Linked DNA regions of Macaca mulatta. The protein of the gene in region 1 interacts with the protein of each later gene in a pairwise test. Links are inferred from orthologs where the notes say so. Each region holds a gene or a part of one and is shown on either strand. Other genes may lie near its edges. The genes, in order: GSTA4 and C13H2orf50.

Region 1 (16,404 bases):
GATGGAATTTTGCACCTAGCTCGGTTCTCCAGATCTGGCTAGGAGCAGTCAATGACTAATCTTCTGTCCTAGCCAAATTCTCAGGACAATTTGGGGAGCAGAAAGAGTTATGGCAGAGGTTCCACTCATCTACGAAGTCACAGTCACGTGCCACATTTGATCTCCTAACCCTGGTGTAGTTTCTTTCAAGAATGAGAACTCTATTTGTTGGGCAGAGGCTGTTCCATTGAGAGGAATGTTTACAGCAATTTTGAAAATGACAAAGCCAGTTTGGAGACAGAAAAAGACAAAAGGTCCAGTCTCATCCACCTCTATATGGTACATTTGGCTCACTTATGGTTGCCTTAAAGGCAAGAGGGAAGGTCACCATCAGTGAACGCAATGCAGTCTGAACAGTGTATTGACTCATATTCTCCTAGGGCTCAAACTACTTTCTTGGTTCCAGGATAATGACAAGTTGAACCATATGTAAGTAATCTTTTTTTTTTTTTGGTTTTTGAGACGGAGTCTCACTCTGTCGCCCAGGCTGGAGTGCAGTGGCGTGATCTTGGCTCTCTGCAACCTCCACCTCCCAGGTTCAAGCGATTCTCCTGCCTTAGACTCCCAAGTAACTGGGACTACAGGTGCCCGCCACCACGCCCAGCTAGTTTTTGTATTTTTATTAGAGATGGTGTTTCACCATGTTAGCCAGGATGGCCTCGATCCCCTGACCTCGTGATCCACCCTACTCCACCTCCCAAAGTGCTGGGATTACAGGCATGAGCCACTGCATCCAGCCAAGTGATCATTTTTATAGGTTAAAATGATAGGTGAAATGAATCTAGACACTTTCATATGGTTCAACCTAATGACTTGGTAAATTATTGCTTTGGTATATTAATAATATGTTGCATTCATTCTGAACAAATTACCATGGCTTCCAAAGAGCCTTAACCTAAAATCAGAGAGTAATTTACGCTTTGGAGAATCTGACTCAAAAATATACTTGACCAAGCACCGTGGTCCCTAGGGGCATGAGAAAAGCACATAATGGATGTGGATGTGATAGGTGGTCTTTTCCTGTTGACAAGCTGGCAGCAAAGCTTCAGAAAATATATATGCAAGCACAACTTGAAGCTGAATTCATTTCTGTATTATATTCTCAACTCATTATCTAAAGCATCAGAAAATGTGTTTTCAGAGATGAGTCCTTTACTATAAGGTTAATATTTATTTTCATTTTCTGTATTATATATGAAAAGTAAATTAATGTGAAACCTTGCCCAGCTTGCTGGAAAGCAGGTTTTAAATTGTAAATATTCCTTAGAGGAGCAAATGGATTGTTTAATACCATAGTCTCGGTAATCTAGCTTATATAAGGTCATTACATTTTTTAATTGAAAAACCTAGTTACCTGATTATTACACATTATAAAATTGTTTTTCTTCTAATACTTTATAGGGCCCAACTTCAGAAAATACTTTGCTTTCTTCCTTTTACACTTTCCTTTGTTTACCAGCAAACAACTTCCCTGGGGAAGCCAAACATATTTATAAAAAAATCAAGTAGCTGATGTGCAGTTGAGAAAAACTAAAAGACGGAGAAAACAAATTCTAACTAGCAAATGCTGTGAAGTACTCTTCCTCCCCCTCTCTGAAATGGGTAAAGGACCAATTGTGTAAAAAACCTATGCGCTATAGAAGGGAATAGTAACCATTTCTTTTGTCTCTCTGTTTTTGTTCTGACTGAGAATCTGTGCAGCCATTTCTTGTTATATGAAAACAAAATGCTACTTGTGACCTCTATTTTTTGTTACTGTAGAATTATAAAATGTAATGTAAGACACCAACAGAAATGATATACCTGTAACTGTACCTATCAGGACTATACCTCATTTACAGTCAGAAAGCTTACTGGGACGTCAGGAAATGATACAGGGTTGGTTCTCATTTCGTGCTGAAATGAGACAGAAGTTCAGTGACAAAGGTGCGCTGTGGGGGTATCGAGGTCCCCCAGGTAGAGCCAGCAGAGCAGGGAAAACTGCATTTGCATAAAAACTACTCTTAACATGATTGTTCATTTTACAGTAAAATTCCATTAATTACCAAGCCCTCACCCAGCTCATGTATGATAAAATTTATGTTGGAAGAAACTTGATTTTCAAATAATTTTTTAAATTTATCTCTTGCCTAAAGGACTATATACATCTAATATGGTAACACTATGTCATCTTCTGGAGTTATCAAAAATTGTATGCAATCAAGACAACACAAAATAAGAATTATTTTATTTTTAAGTGCACATACAGGTACTGTTGGAGTTGATGGGCACCATGCTTTCTCATGAAGTAGCATTTCCCTACCATCAAGCCATTGTTTTGTGCCATTCAGCAGATGAAAAAAAGGAATTTATGCTGTACATTTCAGTTCAGTGTATGACCAAAAGCAATATGTTTATAAGAAGATGTTTGACATACTAATTATTTTATATCATTTAAACCATACTGTAGCAACATAATATATGTAGCTAATTTTTAGAATTATTTTTACAATTTCCAACCAAATGTACTGTACTGTTATATAATTTATTGTGAGGATCTTCTCATGGAAACCATTAGGAAGACAAACTGGAGGTAAATATCATATTAATCTGTATTATCAATTTCTTACAGACACTGTGCTAATGTGAATTTTAAATGACCTGCATCAAGTCTTCTGATTTCAGATAACTCAGTACAGATAGCAATTAGTCACCTGATTTGATTACAATGGAGTAACTGACAATATATTTATTTATAAAGCAAATATTCATAATAATGAGAAGAATTCAGAGTAACCACTTAAGCAAGACCCTTCTGAAATAAAAATGTTGCTTTTTAAATAGTTTGTCCTAAGGTGTTTAAAAATGTCAACTTTATGTAAGGAAAAATTTCCTGCTCCAAATAAAGTTGAAGTTTAAGAAAAATTGATTTGAGTGTTCTGTTTTTGTTTTCATGTTCTTCCATTCGTGTTTTCTAATTTTTGTCCTTTGTTAGTTCATTTGGAACTTTGATGTTTTATAACTTCTCCTGAATGCTTAGTATCGTGTTACTGCTATGAAATTAGATGCATACACTTTGAGTAGCAGAATGAAGAGTTATCCTGCAATGTGGAGGTTTTTTTAAAATTCAGCTTTTAGAAAGTTAGGCGTCTGGAAGTGGTGGCTCATACCTCTAATCCCAGCACTTTGGGAGGCGGAGGCAGGAGGATCCCTGGAACCTAGGAGTTGGAGACCAGCCTGGGCAACATGGCAAGACCCTCTACCAAAAATCTCTACCAAAATTACAAAATTTAGCCGGTGTGGTGGTGTGCACCTGTGGTCCCAGTTACTTGAGGGGCTGAGGAAGGGGAATCGCTTAAGCCTGGGAGACAGGTTACAGTGAGCCCAGATCACCCCCCTGCACCCCAGCCTGGGCAACAGAGCAAGGCCGTGTCTCAAAAACAAAAACAAACAACAACAACAAAAAAGCAAAAGCAGGTGGAAACAGTTTCTTGTTCCTGATTTCATCATTTTAACCTGCCTTGTATGTCTTTTAGCTTTTCACAGCACATTCTCATATACAATATAAACCTTTAAAAGAAGTTCATAACTTCGTGAACTACAGAAAGAATGTCACAAGAAATGCATTTTCTAAACATTCTTTGACTCCTTGACAGGATTTTCTAGGAACATGATCTACCAATCAAACTTGCATTGGTGAATCCCTAACTGTGCCTCTTGCCATCAGAACACAGTGACTTTACTGTGTAATCATGGGCATTTGTCTTTTTGGCATCACGCTGGGCCCATGGCTGCCCCTTCAGAAACCCTGAAGAAGCCATTTCAAGCTCTCAACCATCTTTCCTGATAAGAAAACCCACTTGTTAGAATAGGGTCTTACACCAATCACTTATAGCTAAGGCTGAATTTAAGTCAAATGTTTCCCTCTTCTGGGAGTATACAAAGCTCTTAAACTGAGATTTGAAGCTCTTGACTTTTGTGCAAGGAGTTTTACCTACTACTGAGCAGATGAGTGAAGGGTTGAGACTAAGAAGATTTCTCAGGGCCTCTGAAAATGTATCAGGTAGGTAGGTGGATAGGTAGGTAGAATAGATAGATAAAATGAGTAAGACTGTCTCAGGATGAGGGCAACTCTAAGGGTCTTCAAGAATAAGCAGGTTGACGATGTCAGGGGCTTCAAAGGAATAAAATGCCTTTGGGGTATCTGTCATAGAATGCAGAACTATTATAACAGGATTTTTCATTTCTCCCCAAGCCTGTGTAATAACAGAGTCATGCTGCTACCTTAGTTACACTTTCAGGTGAACAAGGCTGAGTGTTGCCAGAAAAAGGTGTCCTGATCCAGATCCTAAAAGAGGGTTCTTGGATCTCGCACAGGAAGGAATGTAAGGCGATTCACAGAGTGCCATGAGAAGCAACAGTTTATTGAAAGCTACTCAGTTATAGAGTAGAGCGTCCTCAGAAAGCAAGAGGAGGAATGCCTCCTCTTTGTTTTTTATTCGATAGGGGTCTTATCTATGTAAAAGGTAAGCTAAGCAATGTCTACGTGCAAGTAGGCTAACAGAATGAAAAAAATTAGTACTTTGTTAATTTAAAGAAAGGTATCCTTGGCATTTCCATGCGTAAGTACGTGAAAGCATGACTATAATTACCTTAAAGGCATTTAGCATTATGCAATATTGGAACATCTGGACATTCTACTGTCATAGGAATTTGTCCTTCCAGGTATCATTAAGCTATTTCCTCAGCTATAGACATCTTAAGATGTAGTTGACTTTTTTTTTTTAATTTTACTTTAAGTTCCAGGATACAAGTGCAGAACAAACAGACAAGAAGTGTGTGTGTGTGTGTGTGTGTGTGTGTGTGTGTGTGTGTGTTGGACAGGGCATCATTCTAGACTTTTCTTCCTCCTCCCTTCCCTTTGACCTGATTAGTAAATCCTTTACCACCTACCTCTTTACTATTTCACCTTTTCTTACCCATTTTCTTCAAACGCATGGTGCTACTTTAATTTACACAGACACAACAGGTTTCTTTCTCTACCCCTACTACCCCAATTCATTCGCCTCACTTTGGCCAGAGAAACCTACTGAAAATAAAATCTGATCATGTTAGCTAGCGGCTGCAATTGTTCAGCACCCAGGCTTGTCAAGCAAGGTACTCTCGAGCACCCCTGTGGGTGAAGAAAATAGCATCTATAGCCTGAGAAATAGCAGAAGCTGCCTCTAAAAACAAGATGTATTTTCGAAGGCATGTATTTCAAACTTTGAAATCCATGTGAATTTCGCAATTGTTCCATAATATAGCCCTGATAGTTTTAAAATATTTTCAACGTTTTAACTAACTTGCCAGCCAAATTAGTTTTTTTTTTAGCACCACCCCCAACCCCAAAGACCCCCCCTTCCAAGCAGGTGCTGACTTGAGGCCATGACTATAGAGCACGTGACTCTAAAATGTACAAAATGAAGAAAAATCTCAAGCTGTCCCACTGAGATGAAGAAAGAAAGAAGTTAGTGTCTACTGCTTAAATTAAATAAGGGTTGACGGCTCTTTCGATTTTAATCTGTATGTGGTACTTAGCCTACTTAACACCCGTATGTGGATTTCCTGACGGACTTAACATTCCTGTCAGGAAAGCATTGCGTACTTGCTGTTTAAAACGCATCCAAGGGCCGGGCGCGGTGGCTCACGCCTGTAATCCCAGCACTTTGGGAGGACGAGGCAGGGGAATCACCTGATGTCAGGAGTTCAAGACCACCCTGGTCAACATGGCGAAACCCCGTCTTTACTAAAAAAAACAAAAATTAGCCGGGAATGGTAGCGCGCACCTGTAATCCCAGCTACTTGGGAGGCTGAGTCAGGAGAATCGCTTGAATCCGAGAGGTAGAGGTTTCAGTGAGCCAAGATTACAGCCTAGAGGTGGGCCTGTTGCCTGGAGCTGGGGTCTTTCTTGGAGTGTGCGTATTTTTTTTAAACCCCTTCTGAGGAGTCTGAATGCGTTGGTGGAAGGTGGGCCCAGATGGGCCTGACTGGGCGGCCGCTACGCCCCTGCGTGGGCTGGGCTGGGAAGCCAAGCATGGGAGAGTGCAGTCTCAGATGTGAGACTCCGTCTCAAAAATAAAAATAAAAATAAAAATAAAAAAATTAATTAATTAATTTTTAAAAAGGGTCATGGATCAAAAGAAAGGCAGACTGCCACATGCAGCGCCTCATTTGGATGTGTCTGGAGTCTTGGAAGCTTGACTACCCTACGTTCTCCTACAAATGGACCTTGAGAGCTTGTTTGGAGGTTCTAGCAGGGGAGCGCAGCTACTCGTATACCCTTGACCGAAGACCGGTCCTCCTCTAGCGGGGATGGTCGTCCTCTTCGACCGAGCGCGCAGCTTCGGGAGGGACGCACATGGAGCGGTGAGGGAGGAAGGGGACACCCGCCTAGCCAGCCAGATCAGCCGAATCAACCCTGGCGATCAATGGGGTGACAGATGTCGCAGCCAGATCGCCCTCACATCCGAGACTTCGTTGCGGCGCACAAGCTATATAAACCTGAAGGAAGTTCCAACTTTACACTTAGGTCAAGTTATTTATCGTATTAGAGCTTCAGCAGGTAATTTTAACTAAAATCAAATTTAACCAGCATAGCAAATATCATTTATTCCCCAAATGCTAAAGTTTGAGAGAAACGTACTTGATTTCGGGCTGTTTTGACACTATCCAGAATGCCTTGCAGATGGGTGGGGCATGCTAAATACTGCAGTCTCTATTGGTGAGGTCGTTCCGGAGCCTCGCCCAGCTCCCGCGCGCTAGAGCCGCCTGCTGGTCTCGCCTAGCCGCGGACTGCTGGCCTTGCGCTTTGTGCGGCTCCAGGTCTCCGAGCGGACTCCAGGTCTGTCTCCCTCCTGCGGTCACCCCCTTCCCCGCCCTTTCTCTCTTCTTTTTTTCCGAGTCTCACTCTCACATTCTTCCTTCATCCCCCCAATTCAGTCCTTCTTTTTTCTCCCTCTTGTCCTTTGCCCTCCATCTCCAGTCTGGGCAGAGGTGGGCCTGTTGGCTGGAGCTGGGGTCCTTTTTGGAGTGTGCGTATTTTTTTTTAACCCCTTCTGCGGAGTCTGAATGCATTGGTGGAAGGTGGGCCTGGATGGTCCCCAGGGCCTGGTGGGGCGGCCGCTACGCCCCTGCGTGGGCTGAGCGGGGAAGCTGAGCATGGGAGAGTGCAGTCTCAGATGGCCAAACCCTGGCCCCGGCTCATTTTACAAGGCCGGGGGCTCATCTCCCAGTAGGGGTGGGGGACACGTGGGACCCGGGGGGCAGCCCCCGCATGCGTGACGATGGATGCACATTTTGCAGACAATAGTAGTACTCGGCCTGTTCACCTTCCAGTTGCCGTGATAATAAAATATGATGTATGTAAAAGCATGAATACTTGAAGAGGTTCCTGTGGCTGTGCAATTTTCCTTCGCGACCCTCTTCAACGCTTGCCACCCCCTATCCCCAAGCTGAATCTGGAAAATCTGAGATTCTCAAGGTCAAAATATATAATGTTCTGAATTTGTGAAATCCCGTACTGCTAGCACATATGTTTTTACAACAAATGGCCCCAGCTTCCCAAGATCCAGGATAAGAAGTCATAAATAGAAATCATATAAAAGCCAAGGTTTTTTTTTGTCCATGTTTTAAAATGGTGGTATGTTTTTTCTTGAGTGAGGGAAAATGCAAAAACAAAAATAAAGAACAGTTTCCCGTGCCAACATCCTGAATATTCATTTCGCCCCGAGCACTGGGTTGAAGACGCGAAATTGGGACTATTGGTGTGCGAGGAGCTGCTGCATTTGTTTTTCAGAAAGCCTGAAAAGCTATCATGGCAGCAAGGCCCAAGCTCCACTATCCCAACGGAAGAGGCCGGATGGAGTCCGTGAGATGGGTTTTAGCCGCCGCCGGAGTCGAGGTACCTTATGTGCTGTTTCTTCACAGATTTGTTATACAGTTTTTTGAGACCTTTGAAAGAAAAATAGGTTTTGAAGCACCATTCAGGTCTCGTTCTCGTCCACCAAAATCACAGGCATGCTTCACTGAATCAGATTCCATTCCTGAAGGGACTTTTCTTTATCATTAGAATGTAGTTGGTGGAATTCTATTTTCCTTTTGACTGTTACTTAATTATTGGCTTCTGATCTAGCACCAATGAATATTTATTAATAAGAAGAAAGGAAATGTACCTGGAAATTGTCAGTTACTCTGAGCTCTTATTATGCATTCTTAGGGTAAATTTCGTGTTTTCTTCAGTGGCTTCAAACTGGCAGCCTTGGTATCTTGCTTGCATATTGATTTTATACTTTAGATTATAGTCCAATGACCTAAATTGCCTAAATTGTTTCAGCTTTGGCCACGGTGCTCTTTCAGGTTTACCTTTTTTTATTTCACATTGGCCTCTTTTTTGTTCTCAGCACTTTTTGACACTATAAAATGCTCTGTGCTCATCTTGTATTAATATTTTCCCTGCCCTAGCCCTAGAATCAGGAATTTCTTAGATAGAAAAATGGTATTAACAGGCTGGCACGGTGGCTCACACCTATAATCCCAGCACTTTGGGAGTTCGAGGTGGGCAGATCATGAGGTCAGGAGTTCGAGACCAGCCTGACCAACATGGTGAAACCCCGTGTCTCCCCAAAATACAAAAACTAGCCAGGTGTGGTGGCGCGCGCCTGTCCTCCCAGCTACTCAGGAGGCTGAAGCGGGAGAATCGGTTGAACTGGGAGGCGGAGGTTGCAGTGAACCAAGATCACGCCACTGCACTGCAGCCTGGACTGCAGAACCAGACTCCGTCACAAATAAAAAAGAAAAAAAAAGAAAAGAAAAGGTATTAACGTCAAGATCTGGGTGCTAGATGTCTACGTTTGTTTCTAGTGCCATTTGTTTGTGGAAGAAACTGCCCTGTAAAATTTTCCCTATTCTGGATTTGGTTTACTTACCCTCCAGGTGTTGCCTTGAGGTAACATAGTAAAGTAAGGCTACCCTTATTTGAACATGCTCCTCTATTTTCTGTACTTCCCATAAATTACTAGCTGGACCCAGAGGCATGATCACTTCAGGCTCCTTTTTTCTTTCTCTTTATTTTATTTTTTTTCCTGCCAGACTATGTCAGAGGAGATACTGTGAACACACTTCTCTTGTACCATGTCAGGGGCTGTCTGGTGTCTGGTTGTCTCGTTTTCAGTGATGCCGAGCTTCTTCGGTGTGTTCCTGTGATGTCAACCCCAATCCACACATTATAGTTTCTCCCAGTTTCTTTTCAACTTGTGGTTTTAGCAGCTATTGATCATCATCCCTGTTAGGGTTTACAAAATGGCAATTCTTTTCATTTCTATCATTTCACCTAAGTTTATGAACTGTGATTCTCTTCTAAGACAGTACTCGTCACTCATTAACTTTAAAATGTGTAAAAATGTTATGTTTAAATCATAAACTTTAAAACTCAGTTACTTTAAAATGTGCTTCATATAGGAAAGGCAAGGTAAATGCTTGATTATAAATTTTCACAATAATGTGTTGTTACCCTAGCAACCTCCAAAGATGGCAAATGTGAGTTGTTGGGTTATGGGTTTCGTGTTTGTTTTTTGTTTTTATTTTTTGCATATGATAACTTGCCACATGGTGTTTTACAATTTTCTAAATGAGTTGACATTATGTTCATATGCAAATTCTGATTTCTGACTTGTCTTTAGAAATTGGAAGATGTGGTGATCCTGAGTCCTTATTTTCACAGGGCAGCAATTGTTGGATCTGAATAAGGACTGCCCCACCTCGCCCTCTTGTCTCAGGGTGTATTTGCTAACTATTAAGAGGAAAGTGAAAAACATTCAAGGTCCCAGGACCTGAACCTGCCCGACTTCACTCGTGTCTGTCATATGTCTAACCCCCATAGGCTTCTGAGTTTGTAATTCTTGGTTCATTTCATAGGTTTTGAATGGATATAACCCTTTGTCAAATCTTCTCTCTTTCTTCATTCTACCCTGCCCCTCCTACTCACCTATGAGTCAACATTTTTGGTTACAGTAATAAAAACCCAACCTTAAATAAGTTAAACAAAAAAAGAACATGAGTTATCTGACCCACCTACCCCAGTCCAATCTGTGACAGGAACAGGCTGATCTGGTAGAGTAATGAGCCCACTCCTCAGACCAGAGTGGAGGAAGCTGCATTGGTCTCTTTCCCAGGGCAACCACATGGTTTACAGGGTGGTGGAGAGGGGGCCCCTCCCCATCTCTTCGCCAGTTAAGTTTGTGCTCACATAGATCTGAGACAGTCAGGAGGGACCAGCTGGCAGCCACCAGACAAGTCCATGATTCTCAATATCCCATGATTGAGTTGAACCTAAAGTTGAAGCACACACATCTGGGTAACTAGGTCACTAAAACCTACTGAAAAACAGCCTGTTCTAATTCAGGGAGTCCTCAATGTTGGTCAGTCACTTAATTTGAGTCATCATTGACATTGCTGTAAGTTGGTTGTTTCTTCCATGCTTGGAACTTTATTTGCCTGAAGACCCCTTAAAACCCAGGCAAATCCCCATTGAGATGTGGGAGATGTACACCATTTCTACCATTAACTAGGAGCATCAGTTGAGCACCTTGTCCCTGCATATATCCTATAAACTTTCTGAGCCAAATGTGGTGGCTTGAGCCTATAATCTCAGCTTCTTGGGAGGCTGAGGGTGGCAGGATCCCTTGAGCCCAGGAGTTTGAGGCTGCAGTGACCTGTGATTGAGCCACTGCACTCCAGCCTGGGTGACAGACCTCTAAGAAAAAAATAAATAAATAACCCTTTCTGTTAACTAATATGATGTTTTAACTTTTGATTTTAGTGTGTCGTAGTACAAATATCCAGGGACAAATTCCTCAACTGAATCTATCTGAGAGACATTGTCAATTGATCCAGGAGTACTGCCTGCACCACATCTGACCATCTAGGCTTCGAGCATTGTTGCCCCAAGGATACTGTTCATGAGCATTAAATGAAGGTCCTCTGGGAGCACTGAGTCTCCTTTCCTCACACCATGAGCACCCACCCTGGCAAGCAGCAGAAGCCAAGCCTCCACCCTATGATCCTGATTCTCCCCCACCCCTCCAGGTTGAATGTTTTTCAACTAAATTCACCAATTCTTAACATTTTACTAATTTGCTTTCTCCTTTCCTTTTTTTTTCTGAATTGTTTCAAAGTAGTTGCAGACATCAGCATGTGTCTTCCTCCCAGGGTTACAGGAAAGCGGTCCTGATCCAGACCCCAAGCGAGGGTTCTTGGATCTCGCACAAGAAAGAATTTCGAGCGAGTCTGCAGTGCAAAGCAAAAGCAAGTTTATTAGGAAAGTAAAGGAATAAAAGAATGGCTACTCCATAGAGCAGCCCCAAGGGCTGCTGGTTTCCCATTTTGATAGTTATTTCTTGATAATATGCTAAACAATGGGGTGATTTATTCATGCCTCCCCCCTTTCTAGATCATATAGGGTAACTTCCTGACATTGCCATGGCCTTTGTAAACTGCCATGGTGCTGGTGGGAGTGTGGCAATGAGGACGACCAGAGGTCACGTTCATCACTATCTTGGTTTTGGTGGGATTTAGCTGGCTTTTTTAATGCAACCTGTTTTATCAGCAAGGTCTTTATGACCTGTATCTTGTGCTGACCTCCTGTCTCATCCAGTGGCTTACAATGCCTTAACCGTCTGGGAATGCAGCCCCCAGTAGGCCTCAGCCTCATTTTACCCGGCTCCTATTCAAGATGAAGTTGCTCTGGTTCACACGCCTCTGACACCAAGGCAAAATAAATAATTGTCCTAATAACCACAATACCATTGTCACCACCAAGAAAATTAACGCTGCCTTCACAACATCTAATATGCAATCCATATTCAGATTTTCCCTATTTTCCCCCAAATGTCTAACTGTTACACATCTGTTTAGCAGTTATAACAGTTTCCTCTCCTCCGAGATCTACTTCCAATTTGGTTGTTAAGTATCTTTAGTTGATTTTCATCAACAGGACCTGACTTTTTTTCCATGCCCTCGACTCTTGAGAAGTCCAGGCCATTATGTTTGTAAGGTCCCACATCCTGAATATACCTGTTTTTCACCTTTCGCGTAGATTCAGGGTAAATATTTTTGGTACTGTTTTAGCAGGTGTGACTGTGCCTTTCTCACTGTGTTACAACAGAAGGCTTAGGATGTCAGAGTGTTCTCCACTGGGGAGCCAAGTTTGATTGTTTGGTTAGACCGAGGGTGAGAGATCTCCCGATCTCTCCATTGTAAATTGATACTTTCCCTTTATCATAATTAAGTAACTTAATTAAGTCTTCTGTAAAAAAGAGCTTTTTCTTCTCCTTACCTTTTTTTTTTAGCATCATCATTTATGGACATAGATATTTTGTTGTATGTTATAATCCATAATTGACATCATTCTTTTTGATGCTTAAATTTTCCCAAATTTGGTAGGGAATTCCCCTCACAGGGCCCTCCATGCCTTTCTGTTTCACCTTTGAGCACTTCCTTGCTTCGGCATAACAAAATCAACCTTCTTTTATAGGAGCCCTAGTTCCTTTTAGGGGGCAGTGATATTTAGAAACCAAGATGTGGATGCTAAGTCTGCTCTTTCTCTCTGCTTCTTAAGACTGTTTAACTTGGTATTTTTAGTCCTGAGTCTCTATGATGTTTACCTCCTTTTGGAGGGTGAGGATATCTTTTTAAAAAATTGATACACAATGTACATATTTGGGGGATACATTTGATATTTTGATACATGCATATCATGTGTAGTGATCAAATCAGGGTAATTAGGATGTCCATTACCCACCTCAAACATTTATCTTTCCTTTATGGTGGAACATTCCAATTCTTCTAGCCATTTTGAACTGTGTAATACATTATTGTTAACTATAGCCTACCATACTATTGAACACTAGATCTTATTTCTTCTGTCTAGCTGTATTTATGTATCATTAACCAACCTCTTTTCACATCCTCTTCCTCTCTACACTTCCCAGCCTCTAGTAAGCACCAATAACTTTCTATTTCCATGAGATCCACCTTTTTAGCTCCCACATATGAATCAGAACATTCAGTCTTTGTCTTCCTGTGTCTGGCTTATTTCACTTAACGTAATGACCTCTGTTTCTGTCCGTGTTGCTGAAAATGACAGGATTTTGCTTTTTAATGGCTGAATAATATTCCACTATGTATGTATACATTTCTTTTTTTAAAATTTAGTTTGATGAAGAATTTCTGGAAACAAAAGAACAGTTACACAAGTTGCAGGATGGTGAGTATGAAAATGAAACAACTGCCTCTAATACTGATTTTCCTTTAAGAACTGCTGTTTATGTGGAAGGGCAAAAATATTCAATGACACTGAACATTCAGAACAGTATCCTAAAACCAAAAAAAGCAAGAGGGAATAAATAGTTGAAATTGCCAGGAAATCACTTCTTATTCAATAGTTCCATAAAAGCTGGCTGAAGGGGGTGAGTAGTTCCTTCCCCACCCAAGTGAACAGCTCTCCTCCATCCCTTTCTTCTCCCCTCTCTCCCCTCTAATCTCCTCCTCCCCCTTTCTTTCTCTCCCTTGCCCTTTCCCTCCTTCTCATCTTTCCCTACTTCCTTCATACTATCTGAGGCATCCTGGCCTGTTTGAAGTATGCAAATAAATACCCGCAATGGGGATACTTTCTGAAGTGAATACCACACAGAAGCGAAATCGACGAACTGCCCCTCCCTTCACCTTTAATTCCTGGTCAGCCCTGCTCCCTCCTTGCCCATCCATTATAGCAGGAGCCACCAGTAGACCCATAAAGAGTGCACCCATCAACCTGTGAGCAGCCTCCCTCCCAGCCAACAGCAGGGTCCTCAGGCCCAGCTGGAGGCTCCCTTGTATGGTACCAGCACTCCAGGGCTGTAAGGCCACCTTTTGTGTGCGACGGTGGCTGGAAGCCACTAGGCATGTGCTAAGTACTCCTTTCCCCTCTACCCTCACCCGTTCAGAATGCCCAAACCCTCAAGGGCCAAGCTGTACCCTATACAGGCATCTCTCCCCAGGGTTTGGTATGTGGAAAGTGTTGGATTCAGATTTGTTAAAGAAAACAATGGGTAGTTTTTTTAACTAGTGACAGCGAACTTGGTAGTAAACAATCTGTTCTGTGGCTACAGAGTAGCCACAGAGTATACATGAGCCAAAGAGTATACATGAGTCTCAGCTAGTTACTTAGGTTTCATGATCAGATTCTCTAAAAACAGTGCTGTCCAGCAGAACATTCTACAGTGAAGGAAACATTGTATTCTGCACTGTCCAATATGGTAGCCACTAGGCACGTGTGACTGTTGAGTACATGAAATATGTCTAGTGCAACTGAGGAACTGAATTTTAAGTTTTAAAAATTGTAATTAATTTAAATTTAGATTTATATAGCTGCATGTAGCTTTGACTGCTGTATTGGCCTGTGTAGCACTGAAGAAATATCTTCACTACATTCCCCTTAATCCCTTATCACTGTGGATAGGTATTTTTCCTGGGGTGAAAATGAAAAGGGAACGTTTATAACAATGCTAGTTTTCAGGCTTTTTTTTTTTTTTTTTTTTTTTCCCCGAGACAGAGTCTTGATCTTTCGCCCAGGCTGGAGTACAATGGCATGATCTCGGCTCATTGCAACCTCCGCCTCCTGGGTTCAAGCAATTCTCCTGCCTCAACCTCCCAAATAGCTGGGATAACAGGCATCAGCTACCACACCCGGCTAATTTTTTTATTTTTAATAGAGGCGGGGTTTCATGATATTGGCCAGGCTGGTCTCGAACTCCTGACCTCATGATCCACCTGCCTCGGCCTCCCAAAGTGCTGGGATTACAGGCTTGAGCCACCGTGCCTGACCCCTTCAGGTTTCTTTTGTGGCTAAATCTGCTCTCCTGAATGAAGTTAAAGTTATCTGTCATCTGGAAGCTTTACACTATTTCCTAAGGCCATGATTCCACATTTCTTTTCATTCAACAGAGCATTTTTTAGGGGTTGGGGGACAGAGAAGAAGAGATCACTTCTAACTCTGGGCTTCCATTCTCAGGTAACCACCTGCTGTTTCAACAAGTGCCTATGGTTGAAATTGACGGGATGAAGTTGGTACAGACCCGAAGCATTCTCCACTACATAGCAGACAAGCACAATCTCTTTGGCAAGGACCTCAAGGAGAGAACCCTGTACTGTGGCCCCTCTCAAGTGTTGTCACTTGTCAGCTTACTGATGCCTTAGCTGATTAGCAGTCCTCTGCAGCACACCACATTTACTTTATGTCTTACATAGTTATGAGATCAGGGAGCAAAAATCCAAGAAGGTCACGAAGACCAGTTGGAACTTCAGTAGAGAGAGTCTGAGTAAAACAAAAGAAAATAATTGGATTCAGATGTTGAATACTATATCTAGGGTGTCATCGTTTCAGATTTCAACATTTTTAAATGCTTTGATACTGCTTTTTACCTTTCTTACACATTCACTGTTGTTAAGTATTAGGAATGAGGAGCTGCTGTGATGTTCAAGGCCTGGGAGAGTGACCATTAGAGACCATTAGATTATAATTTGAATTCAAAGCCTGGTCCTTGCACCCCTTAGATGTATGACCCTGGGCAACGTGGGTATAAGAATAGTACATTTCTCATAGTGTCATGTGATTTAATGAGATAATGAATGGAGAGTGTTTAGCACCATGCCTGGTACACTCTAAGCACTCAATAAATGGTATTCACTATTTTCATGAAGATGAAGTTTGACCCATACTAAGAGACCAAAACACAGATGCTGGGGTGAAGGTGGAGGAGTAGGATGCCAGGAAGAAAGCACTCGTGACTCTCAAGCTGTCTGATCTGTGACAGATTTTTGTGAGTTACAACTAGAATTGACCTTATCTCTTTGCTCTTAAGAGACAGGTATAGGTAAATGCTGCTAGGGACTTAAGTTGCCAGCATCTTAAAAAAAAAAAAAAAAAAAAAGCACTCTGAATTCTTAGTTGTGGAAACCAATGACTTCAAAGAAAGGAGAAACTGAGACAACTGCTCTTTTGTTTTAAGGATTGACATGTATGTGGAGGGGACGCTGGATCTGCTGGAACTGCTTATCATGCATCCTTTCTTAAAACCAGATGATCAACAAAAGGAAGTGGTTAACATGGCCCAGAAGGCTATAATTAGATACTTTCCTGTGTTTGAAAAGGTAGGTGGCAGAGATGCCTGTGTACACAGAGTAACCAAACCACAAAGAAGCTGCCACAAACACCCTTTTCTGTCCAAGCATTTTAAAACTGAGCCCAGTTGGACTAACCTAAGAGCTAATAGTAGCCACAGCACAAAGCTGGTGTCTTAGAGCCCCTCA
Region 2 (16,575 bases), on another chromosome or scaffold:
GTCAGGGTGATGAAGCAGGAGCCAGTCCCACAGATCTGGGGATGCTCACCCAGCCAGGTACCCACTTCCCACCCTGACCCCCACCAGCCTCCACCTCCCACCACTCTAAGGAGCTCCCGCTGCTCCTTTAGGACGCTGGGGCATCACTCCTCCTTAGGGGCCAGCCTTCCGCCTTGGTGGGTGGGGCAGAGACTGAGGCTGCAGGCACCAGCCTTACCCCTGACGGAGGGGGTGCCCTCAGCCCTGGGCTGTCTCCAGCCTCCCTCCAAGACCCACGAGGTGTACAGAGCTGTAAGTGTTACAGGAAAGGGGTCCCGATCCAGACCCCAGGAGAGGGTTCTTGGATCTCACGCAAGAAAGAATTCAGGGCGAGTCCGTAAAGTGAAATCAAGTTTATTAGGAAAGGAAAGGAATAAAGAATGACTACTCCATAGACAGAACAGCCCCAAGGGCTGCTGGTTGCACATTTTTCTGGTTATTTCTTGATGATATGCTAAACAAGGGGTGGATTATTCATGCCTACCCTTTTTAGACCATATAGGGCAACTTCCTGACAAAGCTGTGGCATTTGTAAACTGTCATGGCGCTGGTGGGAGTGTAGCAGCGAGGATGACCAGAGGTCACTCTCATGCCCATCTAGGTTTTCGTGGGTTTTGACCGGCTTCTTTACTGCAACCTGTTTTATCAGCAAGGTCATTATGACCTGTATCTTGTGCTGACCTCCTATCTCATCCCGTGACTTAGAATGCCTTCACCATCTGGGCATGCAGCCCAGTAGGTCTCAGCCTCATTTTACCCAGCTCCTACTCAAGATGGAGTTGCTCTGGTTTACATGCCTCTGACATAAGCATGTGTGCCCACTTCGACCAAATCCATGAGGGGCACCTGCACCACCTAGCCCTGCCAGCCATTGGCCTGCTCCCACGGTGGGTCCAGAAGCCCCCAGAAGCCCCTGCGCTCTTCCTCTCTTCACCTGCTTCCCACTCACACACGCCCTGTGCTGCAGCCACAGGCACCCCGTCCAGATCCCTCCCCCATCTCCATACCTTCGCCCATGCTGCTCCCCCTGCCTGGCATGCTGGCACCCCCATCCCACCCCCACCCCAACCCAGCCACCTGCAAACTCCTCCAAGTTCAAGCTCAAGCCTTTATCCCTCTAGGAAGCTTCCCTGAGAGGCTCAGACAGAAAAGATGCAGCCAACTTACTATTCAGTGAGCTTACTCTCTCCCTATCAGGGAAATGAGGGAGCCCTGTCACTGAGACCCTACGATCCTGCCCGGCAGAGCTGCCACTCTCCACCCCACTGTGGCACTCACACTGAGGACAGGGTCACACACCTGGTTATTACGACTTCGTGTCTATTTAACCATGTGCCAGGCACTGTGCTAGGAGCCTTGCGTGGATCAACTCATCCAATCCTCACCCTCAACCTAGAACTCGGAGGGCACAGAATAGGCACAGCCACAAGGCTGCTGCTGGAAAGGACGACACAGGCAGATGCAGGCCGGGATGGGTGAAAGGGTCTCTCAGGGAAATGAACTGGAGTCGGGTGTGGAAAAGCAGCAGAACGTGCTCCTGGCCCTGCCACACACCTGGGTCCCAGAGCTACATGGAGCTGACTGCCACCCCTGTCTGCAACCCTGGCCTTCCCCGCAGGACGCCTGACAACTTCCTTCCCCTGGCCTGCTGGCTAGAAACCCCTGCAGGCAGATGGCCTTTCTGCCTGGCCCTCTCCTGGCTACTGCAGCCTCACCGGAGGGCCAGGCCCAGGCCAGGGCAGCTCCAAAGGTGGGCTCTGGACCGGGGTCTCCCCTGAGCCAGGCAGGGGCTCCCCACGGGAGACAGTGCCAACCATACAGGCTGCGGGTGCAAATTGAGCCTGGGGAAGGAGAGGCTGATCCCGGTGATCAGAGGGGGTGGCACCAGCCTCAGCCATGCAGGTGTGAATTCCTTCCCCCAGCCTGAGACCAGTGCCACACCCCCGCCCTCTCTCCCCAGGCTCCCCCATGGATTACCCTGCCTGACACCCCATGCTGGCAACCAGAGGCTGATTCTGCCTGACTGCCCCCAGCTCCTGGAGTGTGCAGCCTGGGTTCCAGAGGGAGGCCATACGGCCCCGTCAGAGACCACCAGGGAAGTATCACAGACCGCAGCCAGCGTGTGAGCTCAGCTGGGAGTTTGCACCAAGCCTGGCTCCAGAATGAGGCCTGACTGACGCAGGCTAGGTCCACCCTGCATGGGCCGGCTGGTGTGGGTAAGTCCTGGGGCTCAGAGAGGGGCTTGGAAGGCCAAATGCAAGGCGGCTGGACCCATTATCGCAGCACATAGCGTCCCCTTGACTTGCTGGGAGAAGCTCGCGCCCTCATAGTTAGCAATTCCATGGCCACTGGAGGCCAGAGTGGGAGCTGGGAGGCTCTGGACACCATAGCCTTGGGCCCCGGCCCTTGCCGGGCTGGTGTTGGCCTGTAAATGCTGCTTCCGCTGTTCAAGCGCTGATGCTCCTCCACGCTCACAGGTCAACAGCTGCTGCCCACCTCCAAGACCCCCGAATGCTGCACGGCAGGTGGCCTCCCGCATCCCTTCTGGGCCCTCCCTGTGGGTTAAGAATGTCACCCCTGCCAGGGCACCTGCCTCCCCAGGCCCACAGCTGGGCTCCTTTCACAGACACCGTATCTGGACAATCCATTTGTTCTGTGTCTGATCAGAAATGGCCATAGCGAACCAGCGTGCGTCTGACCTGAGACACCCGGCTTCTGGGCACCTGGGGATGGTGGAGCCAGGGGAGATGCCGCGGGTCGGAGGGAGGATACAAAGCTCCAGGGTGCCCCCTGCTGCCTCTGGGGCGTTCTGCAGTCATGGCCAACATGGACTTGGACACAACCTGCTCCGATCTTCAGAAATATTATCCACAAGACCTGCTTTCTCCCAAAACGCATTCGGCTGCCCACCCATGGGAGGCTACAGAATAAAGAACATAAAGACATGCTCCAGAATACGTTCCGAATGCTTAAAATTTCCCCAACTCCCATGAATCTAGAGTCTTTGAAATATAGATCATTGAGTATCTTTTTGATAACTGAAGTAAAACTGTTTATGTGAGATGCTTTTTCTCTGTAAATAACAACTCAAGAAGAGACCAGGAACTATAGTCAGAAGGGATTCTGGTCCTGGGGGTCCATTTCTTGCCTGTGTGGTCTAGGTGGGTCGTGGTCTTCCAGTTTCTGCCCCTAAATCCATATGTGATCAGCTCCACCTCATGAGGCTGTCACAATATTTCACAAGGGAAATGCACGAAAGCACACTTTTAAAGCAGTGTACCAGTTGCTGTTTTTAATGTCATTATCCATCAGGGAATTTTTAACTTATCTCCCAGAGGCTTGACTGGATTGAAAATGTAAGGTCTATTTAATGAAAATTATCAAGGAAGTTCCTGGGGAAAAAAAACTTAGGCGTAGTCAAGTATTAGTCAAGCCCCAGCTCTGCAGTTCAAATAAAGCACAGAATTTAGAAGTCGTATGCGTGAATTCCATGCCAGGCCTGCCACTTATTGCCTGTGTCCCTGCACAAGACACTCAGCCTACCTTTGTTTTCTCATCCATAAAATGGAGCTAATACTGTTCACCGAATGAGATGAGGTGAGGACTGGAAATAATGCCTGATGTACAGTGGGGGCTGAATACAAGGTTGGTTCTTTTTTTTTTTTTTTTTTTTTTTTGAGATGGAGTCTCACTCTGTCACTCAGCCTGGAGTGCACTGGCGTGATCTCAGCTCACTTCAACCTCCACCTCCCGGTTTCAAGTGATTCTCCTGCCTCAGCCTCCCAAGTAGCTGGGATCACAGGCTTGTGCCACCATGCCTGGCTAACTTTTGTATTTTTAGTAGAGCTGTGTTTTTGCCATGTTGGCCAGGCTGGTCTGGAACTCCTGATCTCAGGTGATCTACTTGCCTCGGCCTCCCAAAGGGCTGGAATTACAGGCGTGACCCACCACGCCTGGCCATACAAGGTCGGTTTCATCCCTGAGTAGATCCCAGAAGGAATTCAAATCTGTATCATCTGTCATTGGTTGAATTGTGCTTCTTGAAATTTGCATTGAAGTCCTAATCCCCAGACCCCAGAAGGTGACCTTATTTGGAACCAGGGTCACTGTCCATGTGAGGAGTTCAGATGAGGTCATACTGGAGTAGGGTGGGCTGAGATCCAGTATGAATGTGACCTCACAAAAAAGGAGAAATTGAAACAGAGACACACGAAGAAACAACACCATGTGAAGATGAAGGTAGAGATTAGGGTGATGCTTCTACACACCAAGGAACTTGAAGATTGCCAGGAAGGCCCCAAAAGCAAGGTAAGGGGCCTGGCACAGGTTCTCCCTCACTGCCTCAGAAGGAATGAACCCCACCAACCCCTCTTCTCAGACCTCTAACCTCCAGCACTGTGAGATGCTACATTTCCCTTGTTTAGCCACCCAGTTCGTGTCATTGCGTTAGGGCAGCTGTGGCAAACTAATACATAATCCGAGAAAGACTGTCACACATTTACTATCTTTACTGCTGAATAATCCTTACCAATGGGCCCAGGCCGGGCATAGTGGCTGACGCCTATAACCCCAGTACTTTTGGTGGCCGAGGAGGGTGGATCACTTGAGCCCAGGAGTTTGAGACCAGCCTGGGTAACATAGTGAGACCCCATTACCACAGTAGAATAAATAAAATTAGCTGGGTGTGATGGCACACACCTGTGGTCCCAGTTACTCAGGGCACTGAGGTGGGAAAATCACAGGACACGGGAGGCTATAGTCAGTCGTGATGGCACCACTCCACTCCAGCCTGGACAACAGAGGGAGAGCCTGTCTCAAAAAAAAAAAAAAAAAAAAAAAGCCCAGGAAGGTGGGGTCGGAGCCTAGACAGACTAGAACCCAGTTCTCTGGATTCTTAATTCTGTGCTCTTTCCACTACCCCTGACAGTCATGTCTTAGGCGTTAACATGATTGACCAGGTGCAGTGGCTCACACCTATAATTCTAGCACTCTGGGAAGCCAAGGCAGGCAGATTGCTTGAGCCCAAGAGTTTGAGACTAGCCTGGGCAACACGGTGAGACCCTGTCTCTACAAGAAAATGCGAAAACTACCCAGGCATGGTGACGCATGCCTGTAGTCCCAGCTACTCGGGAGGCTGAGGTGGGAGGATTGCCGAGCCCAGGAGTTGGAGGCTACAGGGAGCCATGTTCACACCACTGCATTCCGGCCTACTCCCTAAAGATATGCAGTAGACACAGGAGGAAGCATGTCTGTTCAGATTTTTTCCATGCATTCAACTCATGATAACAACACCAGAATCAGACCACATATACCACTTTGCAACACGTTTTGTTATTGTTTTATCATGTTTGTTTTGCTTGACATTATATAGACGACATCTTTACAAGTAATAAGTATAGTAAAGACACACAAGTAACATAACCCATCACCTTTTGATGAATTTTTTTTTTTTTTTTTTGAGATGGAGTCTTGCTGTTGCCCAGGCTAGAGTGCAGTGGCGTGATCTCAGCTCACTGTAACCTCCGCCTCCAGGGTTCAAGCAATTCTCCTGCCTCAGCCTCCCGAGTAGCTGGGACTACAGGCATGCACCACTACGCTCGGCTAATTTTCTGTACTTTTAGTAGAGATGGGGTTTCACCATGTTGGCCAGGCTGGTCTCGAACTCCTGACCTCAGATAATCCACCCGCCTCAGCTTCCCAAAGTACTGGGATCACAGGCATGAGCCACTGCACCTGGCCCTTGATGGACATTTAGATTGTTTCCCCCTTTTTTTTTTTTTTTTACTAACACAAATAATACAGCAGAAAATAGTCTCAAGTAACTTTGCACATTTGTATCTTTTTTGTGTGTGTGTAGAATAAATGCCTAAACATGCCAAATCTGTTTGTGATGGTTTTAAATAACCTCTGCAAATTATTTGATCCTTCTCCCATTAAAAGTGGAGTTTAATTCTCCTCCCTTTGAATATGGGCCAGTATTTGTACTTGTTTCTAATAAACAGAACGTGGTAGAAGTGGCACAGGGTGGCTTCTGTGGTTAGGATAGAAAAGGTGACACAGCTTCCACCTGGCTCCCTCTTTGTCAGTTCCTCATCCTTGAAACACAGCCACTTCACATTGGAGAGAAGCCCAAGCCACACGGAGGGGCCCCAGCTGGCCGCCAGACCCACCTGAGGTCACAGCCGACAGCTGGCATCAACCTCCAGCCTTGACAGTGAATGAACCTTCGGATGGCCCAGTCCCGTCTCATTATTTTATACCGACATGATTTACCCTCAAAAGAAAAATGAAAGAAATACAAATTATAGCAATGTCATCTTTAGCAAGGACTGCTTGCAAGGTTGGCCCTTGGTTGGTATCTGGGAAATTGACTTGGGGAGTGTTCCCACCCTTCCCGGATAAGAACAGCTCACTGCCCCTAAACCGTGTAAACACTGTGGTTTATGTCTTCGTACTGGGAGTCCAGAATTTCGGTACATGCTAGGCAGAGGGTGCCTTTGTGACTAGCCTGCAGTAAAATCCTCGGTGCCAAATCTCTAGTGAGTGTCCCTGACAGATGACATTCCACATGTGTTGTCCCAACACACTGCTGGGGGAAGTGAGTGCGTCCAGCGTGTGACAGGGTCTTGGACCCTCACACTCCCTTTCCTCTGGACTTGACCCACGTGCCTTTTTCCTTTGCTGATTTTGCTTCATGTCCTGTTGTCGTAATACATCATAGCCTTGAGTATCACTGTATGCTGAGTCCTGCGAGTTTTCCTAGCCAATCGTCAAACCCAGGGTGGTCTCAGAGACCCCAACACGCCATGGCAACAAGACTACACGGAAGCCGGCGCTTCCTGTATGTGTACACATTGCTGGTGGTACCTGCATGGACACCATGAGAGCAACACAGCCTGTCTGTTGAAAGCCACTCAACGTCCACTTCCTCTGACTCAGTAATCCCATCGGGGAATGTGTCCTGTGGCAACAATTCCACAGCAGGAAGCAGAGGCTTGAAGACCCTTATCACAGCTGGTGCTAAACCTGAACAAAATCTAAATGTCCAAGAAGAGAAAAATTTAGTTAAACACATTATGGTGCATCAACTCTAAGAAACTGGCTACAATGAGATGTGTAAAGCTTATAAAGCACCTGTGGTCCCAGCTACTTGGGAGGCTGAGATGGATCCCCTGAGCCCAGGGAGATGGAGGCTGCAATGAGCTATGACCATGTCTGGGTGACAAAGTTAAGACCCTGTCTCAAAAAAGAAAAAAAAATTGTAAAGAGAAACATGAAAAGATGTTGCTGATACATTAAAAACAATTTTTTTGGCCAGGCATGATGACTCACGCCTGTAATCCCAGCACTTTGGGAGGCCAAGTTGGGCAGATCACTTGAGTCAAGAGTTCAAGACAAGCCTGGCCAACATGGCGAAACCCCGTCTCTACTAAAAATGCAAAAATTAGTCGAACATGGTGGCGCACGTCTATAATCCCAGCTACTCAGGAGGCTGAGACGGGAGAATCACTTGATCCCAGGAGGTGGAGGTTGTAGTGAACAGAGATCGTGTCCCACTGCACTCCAGCCTGGGTGATAGAACGAGACTCTGCCTCTAAATAAATAAATAAATAAACAAACAAACAAACAAACAATTTTAAGCTGAGTACAAAATGGTGGGCACATTGACAGCAACTGTAGAACCAACAGTTAGACCCAAAGCGGCTACTTATAAGTGAAAACGGTTGGGGCTACAAGAGGAAGGCCGGAGCAGATTTTTCCATAGATAAATTGGGCCTTCCTTTAATGTTGCTGTTCTGATGAACCGGGAGCTTTCTGGGGACTTGGCGGGAGCAGCTGACAAGGCAAGAATTGTGGCGCTGGATGCTTCCTCTGCGGTCACCGCCTGGTATGACGCCTCCAAGGTGTGTGCGCGCGGGAAGGAGAGAGAGGGTAGTAAAGCCAACTTTTCATCCAAAAAGCAGAGGCTTCGGGGACAAAAGGGACAGAAAATATCCCCTGCAAATTAAAAAATGCAGACACGCATTTCCCCTGCCTTCACCTCCCACGGATCCGCCCCTTCAGCTCTCTCCCGCGGGCTCCCAAGCTCCGGGGCCCCTGGGCTCTGCGCCCGCGGAGCTGGACGGAGCTCGGGACCCTCCCTCGCTCCCCGACCCGGGAAGGGGCGGGGCCGACAGGAAGTAGGCGGGGCTGGTTCGCAGGGCGGAGCCTCGTCGCGCTCTGTGAATCGCAGGTGTCCTTGCTCCCGGGCTGGTGGGGCCACCCTGTGGCTGCCTGGGCTGGAACGTTCTCCTCGCCCAGCTGAAGGCCCTGAACTTGCTAAGCCTTTTAGGGTTGAGGAAAACCCATTCAAAGACAACTCCAGCAACCTCCCAAAGGCAGGGATTCTTGTGCTCCCCTGGTAAGTCTCATGTAAAGTTAGACCACAAAATGTGGGCTGTGCCCTGAGCCCTCGCTCAAGGGCACAGAGCAAGTCACTGGCAGAGCAGGGACTGGAACCCGGTGTCCTGATCCCCAGGTGAGGCCAGCCTTAGAGCTGCGGGAGGGGCAGGGCGGCGTGGGTCCTCCCAGGCTGGGGCTCACTGAGGCGCACCCAGAGTGAATTTGGATGTTTTTCCAGGGATAAGGACATGTGAAAAGAGACTGGCAGTGACTGACCTGGACTGGCAGGTGAGGTGTTTTTTTCCCCTCAACATTTTATTTTGAAGTTTTTCAGACACCCAGCATATGCCCACCCATATGCCCACCACCTAGATTCTACAGTTACGTTGTATTGTATTTGTTTTGTCACCCATCAGTCCAGCCCTCTATCAACTCTCGGTCTGAAATGGTTTTTAAATTATATTTTAATTTTTAAGAACCAATCTCCAGCCGGGCGCCATGGCTCACACCTGTGATCCCAGCGCTTTGGGAAGCCAAGGTGGGTGGATCACCTGAGGTCAGGAGTTCGAGACCAGCCTGGCCAACATGGTGAAACCCTGTCTCTACTAGAAATACGAAAGAAATTAGCTGGGTGTGGCAGTGCACACCTGTTTTCCCAGCTACTCGGGAAGCTGAGGCAGGAGAATCGCTTGAACCTGGGAGGCAGAGATTGCAGTGAGCCAAGATCACACCACTGCACTCCAGCCCCGGTAACAGAGTGAGACTCCGTCTAAAAAAAAAACTCAGTGGAGATATTTAGCCTCTACATACATCAGGAACTCGATCAGTCGTGATGGTTTGTCGCAGATGCCCTTGCTGGCCTTTTTTGTCCTGGTCCCTGTGTCTAGAGCCTGTGGCCAGGGCTGGAGGTATCTGAGCAAACTGCATGGCTGTTCCCAGCTGCTCGGGGCTACAGCCTGCAGTCAGCCTGACAAAGCCTCCCAGGACACATTGTCCTCTCTAAAGACACTCACGGGGTGTCTTTAGAACCCAGCTGCTGGGGGTTCAGGGAAGTCAGAGCCGCTGCTCCTTGGGCATGGCAGGAACCTGTCGTCGCGGTGCAGGGAGCACAGACACCTCCATGGGAGCAGCACACAGCGGCCCACCCTGCCACGCTCCTGCTGCGCTCATCTTTACCAGGAAAATTTAAGTCACTAGATGCCAGCCTGTGTCATCCCAGCTCTGAGGGGAGGGACAGAGGACAGACAGAGTCCCAGGCTTGCAGCTCTGATTCTAGACTAATGTTTTCCCAAAAGGTCACACCCCTCAGCTCCATCCTCACGCAAGTGTGGGAAGACAAAGCTGGCAGCTCTTTCTGGCCTGGCTCTCAGCCCTGTCTTCTCCACGCCAGCCCTCCACCTGAGCCCGGTAGGGGCTTCATTGCCATTGCTTACCCACACCATGGCAATGGCGACCTCACCTGTTTCTTACCCCTTTCCTGATGGTTCTGTTCCCTGCAGTTCCGTTGGGGCTCACAGCCCATCAGTATCTCCCCACTGGGTACAGGATACAGTGGAAAACACCCCGGGGCCTGCCCCCATGTGCCCTGCCACCCCCGTCCTTGTCTCCTCCCCTACATCTCCCAAAATGCCAGGCTCTCTCTTGCATCCAAGCTTTTGTGGTCACCCCAGTTTTTCTACCTGGCAAGTCCTTTCACCTGTGAAGTCCCAACTCCTTGCTGCCTCCCTCACAGAAGCAGAATCCAGCAGGGGCACACAGGACTGGCCACAGTGCCCTGTGGTTCACTGGCTGCCCTGCTGCCCTGCACCCCAGGCACTCTGCACAGGCCTCTATTCATCAGGGTTTTGTCTGCACTTAGCTCTTCCTGTACAACGATAGGAAGCAGCGGCCCAGCTGAATGGACCCACAGAGAAGCTGCGTAGAAGGAACTGTGAATCTGCCAGCACCTACCGGAACGGCACGAAACCCAGAGAACCGGAAGCAGAGAGTGCAGGAGGCAGAAGTGATGAGAGCAGCGGGCATCCCTGGAGCTCAGCTGAGCCAGACCAGGAGAGGCTGCCACGGAGGGAGCCTGGCTGCACCCAGTTAGAACAGAAACAGGGCTGAGGGCTCGGACCGTGAGCCCTCAGGTTCTCCCTGTTCCCTTCAGCTGGTGACTGTGTGACCGTGGGCGGTCACTTAATCTTGCCGGTAAGGGCCTCAGTTTCCTCATCTGTAGAATGGCGTTGGAAAGGCATGGCTGGGAGGTCTCAGACATAAAGCAGAGTGCTGTGTGAACGCTCCGGGTTTACAGACAGAGCGGATGTTCCTAGTGCATTGCACTCATTTTCCCTCGCCCGACAGAAGCTCATGACCTCCGCCATTGTTCCCAAACAAGCAGGAAGCTTCACACTGATGCCTGATCCACAATTCCCAGAGCGCCCTCAGGGCCACCATCTCGTGCAAGCCTCGCAGCATCCACGAGGGGGCAGCACAGGACTATCATCGCCCCACGGCCTGAAGGCGGCTGCCGGAAGCCAAGTGCGACAGTGGTGGGGGTGGCCCCCAGGAGCCCCGGCTTCGCTCCCTCCTCCTCCCCTACCCTGCTCGGAGGACTCCGGCCTCGGGGTAGGGGGCTGCTGAACTGGGCGTGGCATCTACTCAAGAACTCTCTGCCCCCCAGCCCTAGGGCTCAGATCACAAACACACACACACACACACACACACACACACACCCGCACACACCCGCACGCACACACGGGCCCGCCTCTTTCCTGGGAGCTGCCCGTTCCCAGGACAACAGTCAACACAGGCGGGAGTTCAAAACAAAACTGGGCTCAAATGCTCTCCCCATCGGCCACTCTGAGCTCGAGGCCTAAAGCGACAGTGAGGAGGACCCTGCCCAGGCTGTCCCGGGGTTAGGAGGGAGAGAGTGTTCCAGGAGGAGGTTTGAGCTGAGCTCAGGCACAGGAGTCTCTCTCTGTCTCTCTCTCTCTCTCTCTCTCACACACACACACACACACACACACACACACACACGCACCCATGGGGAGCCACCCTACCCCTGGGCTCCAGAGAACCACATCACCTGGGCACCGATTGTCCCCCACCAGGCCGCCAACGTCTGTCTCCCCAGCTGCCCGGATTGGCCCTATGGCCAGCAGGGGTCTTGCTGGTGGCTGTCAGGCCCCCCAGGCTCTGAAGGCGCAGCGGGTGGCCCAGGGAGCTGCCTGCGGTGGCGGCGTGCAGCAGGACCAGCTGTGGCGGGAGCTCCTGGAGGCCGAGCGTCGGGGCCAGCGGCGCTGGTGAGTCCCTGCCCTCCCTTCTCCACCCTGACCCCCGCAACCTGACTACAAGTTGGGGAAACTTTTGGAGAAAGGGAGATGGCTGGGCAGCTGATCCGGGCTGAGGGACAGAGAGCATGGCATGCCCGGGGGGAGGCGGGTCACCGGCCCAGCCCAGAGCCAGACCCGAGCCTGAGCCTAGGAAGCCAGGAAGATGGAGGCCAGGATCAGATGCGGCTGGGTCCGAGCAGCCCCGCCTCCCTGGAGCCGGAGCCTGCTGGCCTAGTCTGGGTGAGAGGCGCTGGCCATCTGACCTGACTCTGGGAAAGATGCTCCTTCATGCCTTCATTCAACCAAAAATCCCCATGAGCCGCTCTGAAAGGAGACCAGATACAACAAGGGACTGACCTGGCCATGGCTCCACGGAGCCTTCATACTCCGGACAGGGCAGCCAAAAAGCAAGCAGAAAAGCAAACAAGTACAAATCTGTAAGAAATGTGACCAGCGGTAAGAAGGAAACAACAGTTCAGGGTTAGGGGGAGAGCCGGCTGAAGGCCTCTCTGAGGAGACTTTTAAGCTGAGACATGAAACAGGAGAAGGAGCCAAGAGTTTGACGTATCTAAAAAAACAAAACAAAGAATTCGTGTAGCTGAGGCACAGGGAGTGAGGAAGGCCACAGGATAAGGGGGAGCAGCCGGGGGGGCCACCCCAGCCCTCGTAAAAGTCTGGATGCATTTTTTCCAAAGGAGACACCATCCAGGATTTTAAGCAAGTACATGGCATGATCTTTAAGCAAGAACACAGCATTTTTAAATGAGCAGCCTGATAGATTCTAGGAAGCGCTCATCTTGCACCGCTGAAACTTCATACCCGTGGATTAGCAACGCCCCATTCCCCCTCCTCCCAGCCTCTGGCACCCACCATTCTAGTCTTTACTCCCAGTAGTCTATTTTCAGTGCCTCATAGAAGTGGAATTGTGCAATATTTGACTTTCCATGTCCGTCTTGTTAGCTTAGCATCCTGTCCTCCGGGTTCATCCATCTTGTCGCGTATTACAGAATTTCCTCCCATTCTAAGGCTGAATGTATATATGTGCAGTTTCTTTATTCATTCGTCAATGGACTTTACGTTGCTTCCACATTTGACTGTTATATGTATTGCTACAATGGACATGGGAGTGGTTTCAATTCTTTTGGATGAATTCTCAAAAATGGATGTCTTAGTCCATTTTGCATTGCTGTCAAGGAACACCTGAGGCTGGGTAATTTATAAATAAGTTTATTTGGCTCACCGTTCTGCAGGCCGTACAAGCATAGTCTTGGAATCCACGTGGCTTCTGGTGAGGGTCTCGGGAAGCTTACAATAATGGCAGAAGGTGAAGGAGGAGCAGGCGTGTTGCATGGTAAGAGAGGGACCCAGAGAGAGAGGGGGAGGTTTCAGGCTCTTTTTAACAACCAGCTCTCTCCTGTGAACTAATAGCGCAAGAGCTCATTCATTACCGCAAGGAAGGCACCAAGCCGGTCACGACCCAAACACCTCCCACTGGGCCCTACCTTCAACACTCGGGATCACATTTCAATATAAGATTTGGAGAGCACAAACACTCAAACCATATTGGAGGGATTGCAGGATTATATGCTACCTCTATTTTTAATTTTTTGAGGAACCTCCATTGTCTTTTCCATAGCAGTGGCACCATTTTGCATTCCCATCAGCAGTATCTCAGCATTCCAGTCTCTCCACACAATGGCCAACACTCATTGATTGTCTTTTGGTTTTTGATAACAACCATCCTAATAGGTGTGAGGTGGTATCTCATTGTGATTTTTTGTTTTGTTTCGTTTTGAGATGAAGTGTCCCTCTGTCGCCCAGGCTGGAGTACGGTGGCGTGATCTCGGCTCACTCCAACCTCTGCCTCCCAGGTTCAAGCAATTCTCCTGCCTCAGCCTCCCAAGTAGCTAGGATGACAGATGCCCTCCACTACTCCTGGCTAATTTTTGTATTTTTATTAGAGACAGGTTTTTACCATGTTGGCCAGGCTGGTCTTTTTTTTTTTTTTTTTTTTTTTGAGACGGAGTCTTGCTCTGTCACCCATGCTGGAGTGCAGTGGTGCGATCTCAGCTCACTGCAAGCTCCGGCCAGGCTGGTCTTGAACTCCTGACAGCAGATGATCCACACGCCTCAGCCTCCCAAAGTGTTGGGACTACAGGTATGAGCCACCGTGTTTGACCTCTGTGGTTTTGATTTGCATTTCTCTGATGATGAGTGACATTGATAATCTTTTCATATATTTATTGGCCATTTATTTATCTTCTTTGGAGAAATGTCTATTCAAGTCTTTAACCCATTTTTTCAATTGGGTTATTTGGTTTTGTGCTACTAAGTTGTAGAAGTTCCTTATACATTTTGGAAATTAACTCCTTATCAGAAATATGATCTGTAAATGTTGTCTCCCATTCTGTGCGTTGCCTTTTCACTTTGTTGCTTGTTTCCTTTGCTCTTCAGAAGTTTTTGAGTTTGATGTAATCCCATCTGTCTATCTGCTTTTGTTTCCTGTCCTTTGTGTGGCATATCCATGGAATAATTGCCAAGCCCAATGTTATGAAGCGTCCTTCTATGTTTTTGAGTGGATTGGTATGTATCATGTTAGAAAGGATCCAATTTCATTCTTTTGCATATGAAAAACTTCTGCACAGCAAAGGCAACAATTAACAGTGAAAGGCAACAATTAACAGAGTGAAAAGGCAACCTACAGAATGACAGAAAATATTTATAAACTAAGTAAATGTGGGAGGAAAGGTGAGGAAGGAATAAAGGATGACAGGTCTCAGCTTGAATGATTAATAGGGAGGAGAAGATAAATGATGAAGATGCTGAGTTCTGGTGAGTTTTAAATGCCCGAACCACGTCTAGATAGAGCTGCCAGGAGGTAGTTGAGTGTGAGAGTGAGGAGTTGTGAATTAAAAACCCATCCAGAAGGGGAGAATGAGGACTGACTGCGAATGGACACAAGGTGTTTTGTGGGTGATGAAATGTTCTGGAATCAGAAAGTGGTGATGGTTGCCCAACTCCATGAATATATTAAAGTCATTGAATTGTGTGCTTTAAAAAGTGAATCTTATGGAATGCAAATTCTATCTCAGTTTTAGCAGGAAACGAGTGGGCATTGGCCCCAGCGATGTGAATAAGCTCTCCCCGGAAGAGCACAATGGATCAGAAGAGGTGAGGATGCAGGACAGAACTTGCAACGTTTACTAGAAAGGCAGAGATGCTGCCAGGAAACACCAGAGAAGAAAGCCAGGGGCATAAGGAGGTGTAAAGACCAAGGGGAAAGAGTTTTGCAAGGTTTGGATAGCCCAAAGAGGAATGTGTAAGGCAGTGCTGCCTGACAGAAATACAATGTGAGCCAGACACATAGCTTAAATGTTCTAGTGCTGCTTTAAAAAATGAAACAAGAGGTCGGGAACAATGGCTCACACCTGCAATCCCAGCACTTTGGGAAGCTGAGGCAGGCAGATCACCTGAAATCAGGAGTTCGAGACCAGCCTCGCCAACATGGTGAAATCCCATCTCTACTAAAAAATACAAAAACTAGTCAGGCATGATGGCATGCACCTGTAATTCCAGCTACTCAGGAGGCCGAGGCAGGCAGAGTTGCTTGAACCCGGGAGGCAGAGGGTGCAGTCAGCTAAGACTGTGCCACTGCACTCCAGCCTGGGCGACAGAGTGAGACTCCATCTCAAAGAAACCAAAAAACAGAAAGAACTTGTAGCAATAAAAATATATAAAGTTGAAATATAAGACACAACTGAAGTCAGACTTCATAAACTCAAGACAGGAGAAATTATTCAGAAAATCAAGACAGAAAACACAAATGACGAATTAAAAATGTAGAGAAACTGAACAAGAAGCTCCAACCTATCCTTAATCAAAACTCCCAAAGGAGAGAATGGGAGAGAGAAAATGTCTAAAGAGAAAGTAAGTGAGAATTTTCCAGAACCAAAGAAATGCAGGAGTCCACAGATACTAGAGTAGGTGCTCCACAGAAACAGGTGCATTAACAAGAAAATAAGACATGGAATTCCCAAAGAGGGGGATGCCAGCGTGTTGGTGAAGGAAGGGACCAGCCTGTGATCTTGAGGCACGGCCAGGCCAGTGGGAGCAGGAGGACACGGGGCTTCCGAGGAGGCTAAGAAAGGTTTTAAAGGAATGTTTATTATCTGATGCACATGACAGTGTAGAAAATAATATTGAGAGGGACTTTTCAGTTTTATTGGAACATCTGGAATCAATGATCAGTACATAGAAGCCTAAAAAAAATTGGGAGGAAATGTAATTTCTCTGTTAGCTCTAGAAAGAATACAAGGTTATACAAGAACAGAATTGGGGTATATTGCACTCCTTAGTTCATCAGGGAATAACATTTACATAACCATAAGAATCAAAATGACATATATCAATTTAACCAAGATCTGTAATGATTTTGAAAGAACAAAGGGAAGGGCAGGAGTAAGAATGCTAACTCTTCATCTCCTATAATAGGAAGTCCATAGATAAGTTTAAATTTTAGAAAATATTAAGGAACAGCAGTGGATATAGTTTGGATCTGTGTCCCCACCCAAATCACATGCTGAATTGTAATCCCCACTGTTGGAGGTGGGGCCCGGCGGAAGGCGACTGGATCATGGGGTCGGTTTCTCATAAATGGTCTATACCATCCCCATGGTGCTGTCCTCACAGTAGGGAGTTCTCACCAGATTTGGTTCTTTTAAAGTGTGTGGCACTTCCCTTCTCTCTCTCTTGCTCCTGCTCTGGCCATGTGACCTGCCTGCTGCCACTTTGCCTTCCACCATGATTGTAAGTTTCCTAAGACGGACCCAGAAGCTAAGCA

Evidence for each region.
Region 2: the proteins of GSTA4 (region 1) and C13H2orf50 interact in binary tests that used the Homo sapiens proteins (3 or more experiments, as listed by UniProt). The two-hybrid records come from large-scale screens. The link is inferred for Macaca mulatta from reciprocal best matches to the Homo sapiens genes GSTA4 and CIMIP5.

Annotation. Positions count from the first base shown.
Region 1 is NC_133409.1:129,378,729-129,395,132, forward strand, and holds the start of GSTA4 (glutathione S-transferase A4), read left to right. Parts: upstream 1-6,844; 5' UTR 6,845-6,901; intron 6,902-7,855; 5' UTR 7,856-7,873; coding exon 7,874-7,960; intron 7,961-13,269; coding exon 13,270-13,321; intron 13,322-15,106; coding exon 15,107-15,239; intron 15,240-16,103; coding exon 16,104-16,245; intron 16,246-16,404. UniProt on the Homo sapiens protein: Conjugation of reduced glutathione to a wide number of exogenous and endogenous hydrophobic electrophiles. This isozyme has a high catalytic efficiency with 4-hydroxyalkenals such as 4-hydroxynonenal (4-HNE).
Region 2 is NC_133418.1:113,693,138-113,709,712, reverse strand, and holds the start of C13H2orf50 (ciliary microtubule inner protein 5), read left to right. Parts: upstream 1-7,627; 5' UTR 7,628-11,445; coding exon 11,446-11,705; intron 11,706-16,575.